3 linked regions of the Oryzias latipes genome follow. Each later gene encodes a partner of the first gene's protein in a complex. Links are inferred from orthologs where the notes say so. Each region holds a gene or a part of one and is shown in the gene's direction. Other genes may lie near its edges. The genes, in order: gapdh, rpl13a and heterogeneous nuclear ribonucleoprotein Q.

Region 1 (4,186 bases):
TTGTACCAGACAGAACACAAGTTGCACAAATGTACCTAAAAGCACCTTTTTACATGAACGCAATCACAAAGTCCCGTCTTTACAGCTTAGAAGTTTACCACTGATGTTTCTGCAGATGTTTGTAGCGAGTCAGTATGAACACAGAGGACTAACGAGTCCAATTTATGTCATGAAATGTTTCCATGTTTTTCTCTAAAATCAATGCATCAGTTTCGTTCCGACTCAAACGTCGAGGTGCTTGAACTGTTGTGAAACAGACAAAAGAAGATCACCACGAGGCAGCACTTGCAGCACTGAGTATATCATGGATCATGAGTTTGACTCGCTGCAATCTAATCTTAGCTTGACCTTTGCGTCCCTTCTTTGACCTTAAGCTGTAAAGCGGCGGCTGGGACTGGCATGCTTGCACTCGGAGGGGTTGTGATAGTTCAGCTATGCCAGGACCACTGGACGTCTGCCACCAAACCCGCCGTTGCTGCTCAGCTTCAGAGCAGAGAACCGTCTCTGCAGCCTGCTGAAACATGCAGAGGAAATCTAAGCGAGCGTTTGTCGGGTCTGGTCTGCTTGTGCAACACGTGGGGAAAATCTAACACCGTAATCTTGGGAGATCTTTTCTTTCTGATGTCAACATTGTTGACAGAACAGGGAGTCAAAAATAGACTTCGGAAGGCAGCTGGCATGCCTGAGCCTTGTTGTGTTTTGAGACTGGTGAAGAAAGCAAAGATTATTAATCTCTAAAAGATAAAATGTGCTCTTGCAGATTCCTTAGCTGCAGCACTTTCAAGATAAAGTTTTACTATAGAGCCGTTTCCAAATGTCCACACAAAAGTCACAGTTCAGGTGAGCAAACTGACTCCGACAAGTTCCTCTGCACGACTCAAGTTGAGCAACTGAGTTTCAACTTTTGACTTGAGCTGAGGGGATAAAACGGCAGAAAAAGAGGCACGGCAACAGAACCATTCAAGTGAAGGGTCATGGTCTTTGAACATTAAATGTCAGCGTCACTAAGCCAGAGATTTGATCCCCCATTTGCTCTCTCCATGTGTCTGCATTCAGTGAGAAGGTCAGCAGGGACCCCTCTCTTTTTTCAGCTGGAGGATCTAAATCAGGACCTCCAAATGCTTCAGACTAAACTGACAGCACATATTTTGAATTAGAATAAATGCTCTAAAGAGTTAGGACTGTAATTAAAAGTTAAATATGAAGAAGAATTGAAAGGAGCTTGACAAAAATGGGATTTCAGAGCCTGTGTCTGAGCAGCTAACGACCTTGACATTCACAGGGGGCGGGGTGAGGATCGGTGACCATTAAGGGGTGTGGCTTTGTCCTGAGGGGGCCATCATAAATACTCCCAACCAAACTTTGCTCTTCCCCACTCACACCCGGAGTCGCAAGACAGACAGAAGCGTCTCACAAACGGTAAAGGCTTCAGCTGTTTCTGGCAGCATGACTCTTTCATTGAAATCACCTGGAGACAATTGATGCAAAACAGTCACTTTGCTTTGTTTCTGCTTGATTGAAGCTGTTTAGAAAGTTGTAAAGTGTCATGGAGAAGTTGCAGCAATCAAAGTGATCCAAAAAAAAAGGACTTGCATGAATGTTTGAGGCCTTCTGCTCATCTTTCTGCCCAAATGATGTGTGATTTTAAAAAAAATATTTGTTGCATAGATTTCTAAAGGATGTTTTTTTTAAATTGTTATTCTTTAATCTCACAGAGGACTAAAGATCAACCCAGGCTAAAATGGTGAAAGTTGGTATCAATGGGTAAGAGCTTTTTCTCAACACTTCAAGCTCACAATGCCACATTGTTCTTGATGCACTTCAAATATTTCCTTTTTAATCATTTTATTTTTTTAATACATTCCTGGAGTGGTTTTGCAAAACGTTCCCTGAATTGTTTGATTTCTTAAAATAAGGATCTCTTAATGAAACTCTGAATGTTCAGACTAACTTTAGCAGAGTTCCAAGAAACCTTGAGGACACTTGATTTAAAGAACAAGCTCTGGTTTACTAAAGAGTTTTTAATTTTCCCTGGCGATCAAGACGTACATGGAGCTGAAGCAATTGGCATCCAATTTGAAGGTGGTGTGCAACATCTGAAGCAACAAGTGTCCCCTGATGCATTTGAACAAACCTTTGCGCCATCTGGATGTTTTTTGTTTTCTCTCAATCTCTGAACTTTGGCCTTTTGGTAGAAAACTTTGAGTTTGTTTCACCCCTTCAACTGGACAGACGTTTTCTTCTACTCTTGGAATTGAGTAGAAATGAAGCTGAATATCTCATTGGATATTGAACTATCACAATCCTGAATCTTTAGTGTTATCTGCCAGTCCTGCTGGCCTCTGTTTTAGACCAGGTTTTCAGGACTGTGGTTAAAAAGTAACCCGACCATTGATCAAACCGCAGCTGTGGCGTCATCAGGATTAACACACTGGCGGTTCTTCTGACTTTTGCCCCCAGAAAGGGGCGTGTGAGCATTTGAGCGGCATGCAGCCCCTCCTCATGAGCTCTGCCCTTTATCTGACTGCAGATTCATGTCTCCTGGGATGTTATGCATAAGCCAACGTGAAGGAAGGAAACAAAATGGGGTTCTTTCAGTGAACCGCGTTTGCTCGGGTTCACCTGAAAGTCAGCACTAGCGTCCCTTACTGAATGATTTCAGGTTATTAGGCATTGGCCCCTTTATGTCACTGCCACTCAGACATAACTGCACAGATTAGATGGCCTCAGGACGCCATCTAGAGGCCAGACTGATACTTGTCCTTCCACATTTCAGTTTTGGCCGTATCGGCCGTCTGGTGACCCGAGCTGCTTTCACCTCTAAAAAGGTGGAGATTGTGGCCATCAATGACCCGTTCATTGACCTGGACTACATGGTGAGTGAAAGACATTAAGTCTTAAATTAAATGGGGGGGGGGGGGGGGGGAGATCTTGTATTCAAGTTATTTTTGTTTTAAGGTCTACATGTTCAAGTATGACTCCACCCACAACCGCTTCAAGGGTGAGGTCAAGGCTGAGGGAGGCAAACTAGTCATTGATGGACACCAGATCACCGTCTTCCATGAGTGAGTTAATGTGCCAGTATTTAATAATCAGTGATTACTTTTTAGGACGACTAAAAGAAAGTGATTGGATTTTTCTTTGCAGGAGGGACCCTACTAACATTAAATGGGGTGAGGCCGGTGCCCAGTATGTTGTGGAGTCCACCGGTGTGTTTACTACCATTGAGAAGGCCTCTGTATGTATGCTCCCCTCTGGATATCATGATTTTTATTTATTTATTTATTTTTGGATCAAGCAAATGCGGAATAATCCTCTTTAAATCCCAAAATGCAGGCTCACTTGAAGGGCGGTGCCAAGAGAGTTATCATCTCTGCACCCAGCGCAGATGCCCCCATGTTCGTCATGGGAGTCAACCACGAGAAGTACGACAACTCTCTCACGGTTGTCAGGTAAGATGACTTTTAATCTACAAAAGGACCGTCCATTTTTGGATCTTACAGCTCTGACGCCAATGTTTCTGCTTTTCAAAGCAATGCGTCCTGCACAACAAACTGTCTGGCCCCCTTGGCCAAAGTCGTCCACGACAACTTCGGCATTGTTGAGGGCCTGATGGTGAGAGCAGACGCTCCATTAAACGATTTTTGCTGCTGAATGTTCAGACTCATTGAACCCACCTCCCTTTTTGTCTTGGTCTCTCTTCAGAGCACAGTTCATGCCATCACTGCCACCCAGAAGACTGTGGACGGACCCTCTGGTAAGCTGTGGAGGGACGGCCGTGGTGCCAGCCAGAACATCATCCCCGCCTCTACCGGAGCTGCCAAGGCTGTGGGAAAAGTCATCCCCGAGCTGAACGGGTGAGTCCTCAGTGGGTTTTTTAATATTACAGCATACATGCTGTCAGGGTCTTAATTAAACACTTAAAATTTCTACAGCAAACTGACCGGCATGGCCTTCCGTGTGCCCACTCCCAATGTGTCGGTGGTTGATCTCACAGTCCGCCTGGAAAAACCAGTGAGTGACCACAAATCCTTTTATTTTTCCTTCATATGGATTTATTATTATTATCCATATTATTATCACCAGGGATTAAGATGGAATCTCTTAATAAAATTAATCTGCAAAACTGTACAGTTTCTCAGATTTTATTCACTTTCAACATCTACCTTGTGGGCTCTTATTTTCT
Region 2 (4,156 bases), on another chromosome or scaffold:
GCAGACTGTATTATCTGGCAAATCCGGATAATATAGGATGTTCTCTGTAAGTGTTGACAAATAAATAAAACTGTTCATGAAATTACATTTGCTTCACTTCCATGCTTTTTCAGAACAACACAACATTGTTCTCACTACACAAACTGTTAAACTACTGTCCTTTGGGTTTTGTGTTTGCAAGTAAAACAGAGTAGAAATGTCGAAATGCAGTTTTTAGATCATTGCATGTTATTTAACGGTATTTCTTTAAAGCCTGATGTAATCAGAAGTGGTATCTTTAAAATCTGTCAAAGTTGAAAACTTCTCCAAATAGAAAATAAGCTACTTTCTTATTACTTTATCCCCACTTGGAGCCTTCTGTGCCTAATTTTTGTTAGTACTTTGACTGAAAGTGATCAGAGTAATTAGTAAATGGCAAAAGTAAACTAAATGTTTTTTAAACTGTTAAGGTGGGAAAGGCTTGCTTTTTATGAGTATTTTTAACCAAAGGAGTTGTTTAGTAATTAATCAGACAGGTGATTTCAGGTAATAACTGGAGAGTTGCAGGACAAAACACGAAGAAAGTTATTACATGTCAAACCATAACAGGCTTTGTATTCGGCAAACTAGGCTGCTCAATTGTATCTTGGGTTATCATGCTAAGGGCTGCAATGTGAACCAAAATATGAGTTTATAAAAGAAATGATGGGTCATTTTGTGCTACACGGTCTTGTTCGCCTCGCAATGGAAGGCCCTGGTTTGAATCCCACCTGAAACCTTTCTGTGTGGAGTTTGCATGTTGTCTGGGCACTTAGACCTTTTTGTCACAGTCTAAAAACATTCTTCGTAGGTTAATTGTGTGCCCTGCAACAGAATGGTGACCTGTTCAACCAGGGTTTACCCCCCCTTTACCTAACAGCGGGGAAAGTCTCCAGCAACCCTGTGACCCCAAAAGGGACAGAGTGGTTATAGAAAATAGATGGATGGATGGGTCATTATGTGTTTTACAATGAACCCTTGATGTGTCATGAAAAGAAGTGTCAATAAAGTTTGGTTGAAATCAATTAACTTCAAGTATGTACTGTTTTTTAACGTACTTTATAAATCTTGCACCAAATAGTTATGTATGTTGATTTTTTTTTATTTGTTATAAAGACTATCTTGCTAAAATTAATATGGGTTGGTAATATATAGACTGTTTTAAAAATATTATTATTGTTGTTTTCTTTTTTAAATATTATTTATTCAGGTTGCACCTTACAGCCTATGGGTGGCACTCATCATGCTCTCGAGGAAATGTGAACGTGCGAAAAAGACGGATGAAAAAGACTTAAATGTCGTCACTTCCTGCCACCCCTGCCTTTTACCATGAGCAACCCCGTTCGTCTTTCTTTTCGCTCATCATGGCGGACCGGTTCAATAAGGTGCGTGGAAGCTGCTTACACATATTCATTGTTTTTTCACTGTTTAGTGTATCTGGTCTTTTGTCCTTGGTTCACTTGTATTGTGCGATCATTTGTGTTGCAATAGATTCCAAATTTGTGATTTTCGGGTCATTCTCTTAGCCTCAATTTGAAACATTTGAGACGAGAAGCCGAGAGAACATGCCTTCATAATGGCAGCCTCCCTAAGAAAAGGGCTGATTAGCTTGCTAGCCTTACTTTATTTACGTCAACTTTAGTAGTTTGCACTTAGTTGGGTGATTTTGAGATTAATTAATTGAGCTACTTTCTTATTTAGGAAAGATCTGTAATATCTTACCGTAACGATATATTTACGTATTGTTTGGAAGGGGAGTTGATGCATTAGCATGCTTGACGTGTACGCTAGGGGCTATCATCGTTAAGTTAGCCGGCCTGATTTAAAATTTTGTAGCTTTTAAGAGTTTTCCCCTCGTTTAATAAAGAGTTATTTTTTGTTCACCGTTAGTTGTGTACAATTAGAAATTTAAATCACCGTAATTTGAATGTAAATTCATTATAACACCCCCTCGACCACATGTCGCAGTGTACTAACACAATAAATCCTCCTTGCAGGTTCTGCTGATAGATGGCAGGGGTCATCTATTGGGCCGGCTGGCTGCCATTGTGGCTAAACAAGTTCTGCTGGGTAAGTTATAAACGATCTCTAATGGTATTTGGCTACTGGCTCCATCTATGATGATTCCACATTCTCCCTTGGTTGAGTTTTAAGGACAATGAGAATTTTATATGTATCTGAGATTTTGGACAATTGGGATTATTGATCAATTTGTTATATTTTTTTATTCTTAATTTGTCCATTTTTTTTTTCTTTCTTTAGGGCACAAAGTGGTTATAGTGAGATGTGAAGGCATCAACATTTCTGGCAACTTCTATCGCAACAAGCGTAAGTCAATATTGAAATTTTGGCTTTAATTTTTATTTTATAAATGTTTGTCTGTGATGTTTTCCCACTTGTATTTGAGTTTCATTGACCTTGAAAACATTGTACATGCACTACCATCTGAGACAAGCATACATCAATTCTCAGCCGTTCTGGTGGATAGAACATAGTTTAATGTTTGACTTGTTTCTGACAGTGAAGTACCTGGCTTTCCTGCGCAAGAGGATGAACACCAACCCGTCTCGTGGGCCGTATCATTTCAGAGCTCCCAGCAGGATCTTTTGGAGGACAGTTAGAGGTGGGGTGTGAACACATTGAATAGTGCAACACTGGTGTATTGATGTAAATTACATGGGACAAAAGAACAGTTGTGTATCAGGTGGATCCTTGCTTTACAATGATGAACTTTTTTTATCCCGAATCTGATTGAATCACTGATGATCCAAAACTTTACGGATCTGATTTCTGAGTTAAGCAAGGATTTGATGTGTTTATAAGATCCAGAGTGTTTGTTTTTATACGTTAAAATTGATGAATGTTTTGCTCCCAACAGGCATGTTGCCCCACAAAACCAAGAGAGGCCAGGCTGCTCTGGAGAGGCTGAAGGTGTTTGATGGCATCCCACCTCCCTATGACAAGGTGTGCCACTGTTTGATGACCTATGGCCAACTGTCTGACTTTTAAATCACATCTTTTGTTAAAAAAAAAGTTTTTAAATGTATGTGACAACGCAATTCCATCAGTGGAAAATGTTTGTTTTTTAAATTCCTACTAAATCTTTGGTTTTGACTTGCAGAGAAAGCGCGTGGTTGTGCCAGCTGCTCTTAAAATTGTGCGGCTGAAGCCCTCTCGCAAGGTAAGTCTTAAGAATAAATAAATCCATGTTTTAATGAACCGTTGCCAGATAAAGGTCAATATTTGTTTAAAGCATAATCCAGCAAGGTGATAATTGCACACATGTTCTATGCTAGCAATTTTCTGTTTTTATAAAAACAATTTCTTTGAGTAATTTCAGAGCCTAAGTTTCTGTTGCTTCGTTTGTCTTCAGTTTGCTCTCCTTGGGCGTCTCGCCCACGAGGTCGGCTGGAAGTACCAGGCTATCACAGCCACTCTGGAGGAGAAGAGAAAAGAGAAGGCCAAGCTCCACTATGTCAAGAAAAAGACATTGGTTAAGCTAAGCAAGCTGGCAGAGAAGAACGTGGAGGGCAAGATCGCAAAATACACAGATGTTCTGAAACAATACGGTGTTCTTGTCTAAAATGGTTTGTTCTGGCGAATAAAGATGAATAAATGTTTATAAAAAGTGTTTTGATTCTTTCTTACTCAGCCCTGAAGTACAGTTGATTAATTATGGGATTTAAAGAGACATATTAAACGGGATGACTATTTAATGCTCTAAAGTAACTTGTGCAGATCAAAGGAACTTTTTCCTGGAGTTTATCGGAAAAGCATTTAATTGATAAACAACTATAGCATTCCCAGTATAACATTGTGGGCTTCTTGCACCGCTACTTTTTTTTGTCTAGAAGTCTGTATTTAACAATCACACAAAATTGTGGTTGAGTGATGGTGAAAGGGTTAATGGATTTTCCATATATTAAAAAATATTTCAGGCTTTAAATAAAAAAAAAATGGCTTCAGGTTCATAGTTTATGAGGGAAGCTGGTAGTAAATTTCTCGGAACCTCATGGAGTTTTCTACCAGCAGAGGGCAGTATTGCAGCATTTTAGAGTGACAAATCTGCAAAGCTTTGGAGTGACAGTATTTGATTCGTAGTTTAAGATAAATCTCTTGACAATAACCATCTTGGCAA
Region 3 (3,495 bases), on another chromosome or scaffold:
GTTGGGAAGATTCCCAGGGACTTGTTTGAAGATGAGCTGGTTCCTCTCTTTGAGAAAGCTGGATCTATTTGGGACCTCAGGCTCATGATGGACCCCCTAAGCAGCCTTAACAGGGGTTATGCTTTTGTTACATTCTGCGCTAAAGAAGCAGCACAAGAGGCGGTCAAACTGGTGAGTTCATGGAGTTATTTTCAGACAAAAACTTTCATTTTCAAATTAAAATGGGCCGAACGGCCTGTTCCTGACCGTCATCCTGAAATGCCTTTTTACAGTGTAATAACTACGAGATCCGCCCCGGAAAGCACATCGGTGCGTGTATATCTGTCGCCAACAACAGGCTGTTCGTTGGCTCTATTCCCAAAAGTAAAACAAAGGAGCAGATTGTTGAAGAGTTTTCAAAAGTCACAGGTACGACCGGGGTTCCTGTCGGTACTTGAAGAACTTTCCTTAAATATAAATCTTGTGATTTATTTTGTTCTGAATCTTCTTTGTGTCCAGACGGCCTGAACGATGTGATCCTGTACCATCAGCCCGACGACAAAAAGAAGAACAGAGGCTTTTGTTTCCTGGAGTTTGAAGACCATAAAACAGCCGCTCAGGCACGGCGCAGGCTAATGAGTGGGAAGGTCAAGGTCTGGGGCATCCTGGTCACAGTGGAATGGGCTGATCCCATCGAGGATCCCGACCCAGAGGTCATGGCCAAGGTGAGCATCACCCTTTGAAAACCTGATGCTGAACTGAGAAACCCAATGCATGGAAACGCCTGCAGGCCTGTTCCTTTGCCCCCTTGGGGAAGGATGGGTTTGTTTGAATGTTATCTGGCCAAAGCGGTACTCTTCAAAAAGTGTTACTGCATGACAGAGTACTTAAAATGCTTAATGTCCTTATTTTTAACAGTCTGCAGTGCACCTCTGTTTTCACACACACAAGGAAACATATTTTACCTCTCATCGCCACGGCAACAGACTTTTTTCAGAGCAGTGCACATTATCCGTCGGGTAACTGTATTAGGATCTTCTGCTGTGAAGTACAGACAAAGCTGCGCTCGCTAGAGTAAAGCTCCACCCCCACAGCCTCACGCCTTCTCATAGGAGCCGCCCACAATCACTGGAAAGGCAATATTATTGGCTAGAGTTCAGTAAGACTGGAGAGTGATACGTGATATGAACGAAGCCCAGAAATCTGTTTTTAATGGTTCTGGTAATGCGGCACACGTTGGTACAAGGATGTCCTGACAGAAGGAAGCTGCACAGGTCTGATGGGAAAAGCGTTTCTCTATCTGTGTTGCAGGTGAAGGTTTTATTTGTGAGGAATCTCGCCAACAGCGTTACGGAGGAGATTCTTGAGAAGTCTTTCAGTGCGTTTGGAAAGCTGGAGCGAGTGAAGAAGCTGAAGGACTATGCCTTCATTCACTTTGAGGAGCGGGAAGGTGCAGTGAAGGTACACACTTTCATTCAGAACCAGAGCATTCTTTCTAAAAAACAACACAAAAGAATGGACCTAAAACTGACCAAACCTTCATTTAGGCCTTGGATGAAATGAACGGGAAAGAACTGGAGGGAGAGCCAATCGAGATCGTCTTTGCCAAACCGCCGGATCAGAAAAGAAAAGAACGCAAGGCTCAAAGGCAGGCAGCCAAAACACAAATGTATGAGCTGTTAAATCAGCAGGAAAGCCTTCCTCCTCCACAAATACTGACTTTATGCTTCTGATTTTTTTTCCTTTCTGTCAGATATGATGATTACTACTATTACCCTCCTGCTCCCCACGCGCCCCCTGCAAGAGGCCGGGGCCGAGGAGGCAACCGGGGTGGATACGGCTACCCCTCCGACTACTACAGCTATGATGACTACTATGACTACTACGGCTATGACTATCACAACTACCGCGGCGGCTACGAAGACCCCTATTACGGCTACGAAGACTTCCAGTCCCCGAGCCGAGGGCGCGGCAGCAGCAGGGGCGCCCGTGGCGGAACTTCACCGGCTCGAGGACGCGGCAGCGCCGGCGCGCCGAGGGGCAGGCCCAGCTTCCCCCCGCATGGAGGGCCTGGACCGAGCCGCGGAGGGCGGGGAGCGAGAGGAGGCGTGCAGCCGAGAGGGCGAGGAGGGGTACGTGGTGTTCGGGGTGGCCGCGGTGGAAATGTAGGAGGAAAGCGCAAAGCTGATGGGTACAACCAGCCAGATTCCAAGCGTCGCCAGACCAATAATCAGAACTGGGGCTCTCAACCCATTGCTCAGCAACCCCTCCAAGGTGGTGATCATGCTGGTAACTATTTTGGTTACAAATCTGACAACCAGGAGTTTTATCAGGATTCTTTTGGGCAACAGTGGAAGTAAACCAGTAAGGCTTTCATAAAAGGAAAGAATTTATCCTTTCTGCCTTGTTTTTTCTCATTTAGAGACTTGATCTAATTGGCCCTCTATTCCATTTTGTTGCCAGCTTTATTTTTTTGTTTTTTCCACTCAAAAGTTAGTGACACCTGGCAGGATATCTTTATGTATATATTTTATCGATCCGCTTGGACTCGATCTAGTCACTCTCACCTGCTTCTGGCAAACTGCATTTTTTTCCTTTGTTGTTTTTGTTTTTTTAAGGTGGTCGTAAAAGATTCTTCAAATCCAACTTTTCCAACATTTTTAGATGCGAAATGTGCTGAAGCTGTCTATTTGGCTGTAGCTTAATGTATGTTTTATAGAAATTCTGATTTTAATGTTTTAACTAGTTAAAATAAAAAAGCTACCAAGCTTCTGTCTCCTAAAAATGTATTTAATAAGAGTGAAATTACAATTTGTATTGTAAAAGTAATGCGTGTCTTGTTATTGAAAAGAAAAAAAAAAAAGGACAACCGTAGTCCTCATTTTTGGGCTTTACATTTTGGCTTGTATTCTTTGCTGTTTGTCTGCTTTAATAAACATACACGCACACGTGTACAAAAACTTCAAATTGTGTCGCAAATTCATGTTTCGGCAAATTCTCTTTTCAAATTTTCTTCAAATTTAAGGCTCCATGTGGAAGAAGGTGGACTGAAGGTTTGCCATTGTTGGCCATATGCTACAGTGTCACCTTGCATGCCATCCAGTTCCAAGTCACCTTCTGTAGTCGGCATCTCAGAGCTCTGTCTGTGTAGTGGCGTACCTCATGTCCCAAAACATCTCACTAATTGGTGTCCCAAATTCACTGTCAACGCAGCGACGTCAGAACGGCCTGGGGGGGGGGGGGGGGGGGGGCACAAAAGCACAATTGGATTGTAGCCTCAGACTGAAGCTTTTCCTGGTCCCAGAAGGAACTTTGCTGTTCACAGCGTGGAAACTAAACCTGCATGTTTATCTCCAGGTTTGGCGCCGGACTTGTGTTGGGAAGCAGCGCTTTGCATGCCTCCTCCCTGTAGATCTGATTTATGCCCTCATTCCTGCTTCACCCGTGTCTCTGCCATCTCAGCCTTTCCCCGCTGCTCCCTTAAAGTTTCCCGGCCAGAAGCGGCTAGTTTGTCAG

The links.
Region 2: gapdh (region 1) and rpl13a share a complex: the UniProt entries of both Homo sapiens proteins name them as parts of the GAIT complex. The link is inferred for Oryzias latipes from reciprocal best matches to the Homo sapiens genes GAPDH and RPL13A.
Region 3: gapdh (region 1) and heterogeneous nuclear ribonucleoprotein Q share a complex: the UniProt entries of both Homo sapiens proteins name them as parts of the GAIT complex. The link is inferred for Oryzias latipes from reciprocal best matches to the Homo sapiens genes GAPDH and SYNCRIP.

Annotation. Positions count from the first base shown.
Region 1 is NC_019874.2:20,246,282-20,250,467, forward strand, and holds the start of gapdh (glyceraldehyde-3-phosphate dehydrogenase), read left to right. Parts: upstream 1-1,336; 5' UTR 1,337-1,419; intron 1,420-1,715; 5' UTR 1,716-1,741; coding exon 1,742-1,764; intron 1,765-2,776; coding exon 2,777-2,876; intron 2,877-2,958; coding exon 2,959-3,065; intron 3,066-3,147; coding exon 3,148-3,238; intron 3,239-3,336; coding exon 3,337-3,452; intron 3,453-3,533; coding exon 3,534-3,615; intron 3,616-3,705; coding exon 3,706-3,857; intron 3,858-3,935; coding exon 3,936-4,014; intron 4,015-4,186. UniProt on the Homo sapiens protein: Has both glyceraldehyde-3-phosphate dehydrogenase and nitrosylase activities, thereby playing a role in glycolysis and nuclear functions, respectively.
Region 2 is NC_019880.2:9,907,327-9,911,482, reverse strand, and holds rpl13a (60S ribosomal protein L13a), read left to right. Parts: upstream 1-1,321; 5' UTR 1,322-1,382; coding exon 1,383-1,403; intron 1,404-2,015; coding exon 2,016-2,088; intron 2,089-2,280; coding exon 2,281-2,346; intron 2,347-2,392; exon of another isoform or gene 2,393-2,473; intron 2,474-2,539; coding exon 2,540-2,641; intron 2,642-2,735; exon of another isoform or gene 2,736-2,815; intron 2,816-2,896; coding exon 2,897-2,982; intron 2,983-3,139; coding exon 3,140-3,199; intron 3,200-3,391; coding exon 3,392-3,601; 3' UTR 3,602-3,649; downstream 3,650-4,156. UniProt on the Homo sapiens protein: Associated with ribosomes but is not required for canonical ribosome function and has extra-ribosomal functions.
Region 3 is NC_019882.2:1,562,468-1,565,962, reverse strand, and holds part of heterogeneous nuclear ribonucleoprotein Q, read left to right. Parts: coding exon 1-171; intron 172-272; coding exon 273-408; intron 409-498; coding exon 499-704; intron 705-1,290; coding exon 1,291-1,440; intron 1,441-1,526; coding exon 1,527-1,648; intron 1,649-1,732; coding exon 1,733-2,339; 3' UTR 2,340-3,495. UniProt on the Homo sapiens protein: Heterogenous nuclear ribonucleoprotein (hnRNP) implicated in mRNA processing mechanisms. Component of the CRD-mediated complex that promotes MYC mRNA stability.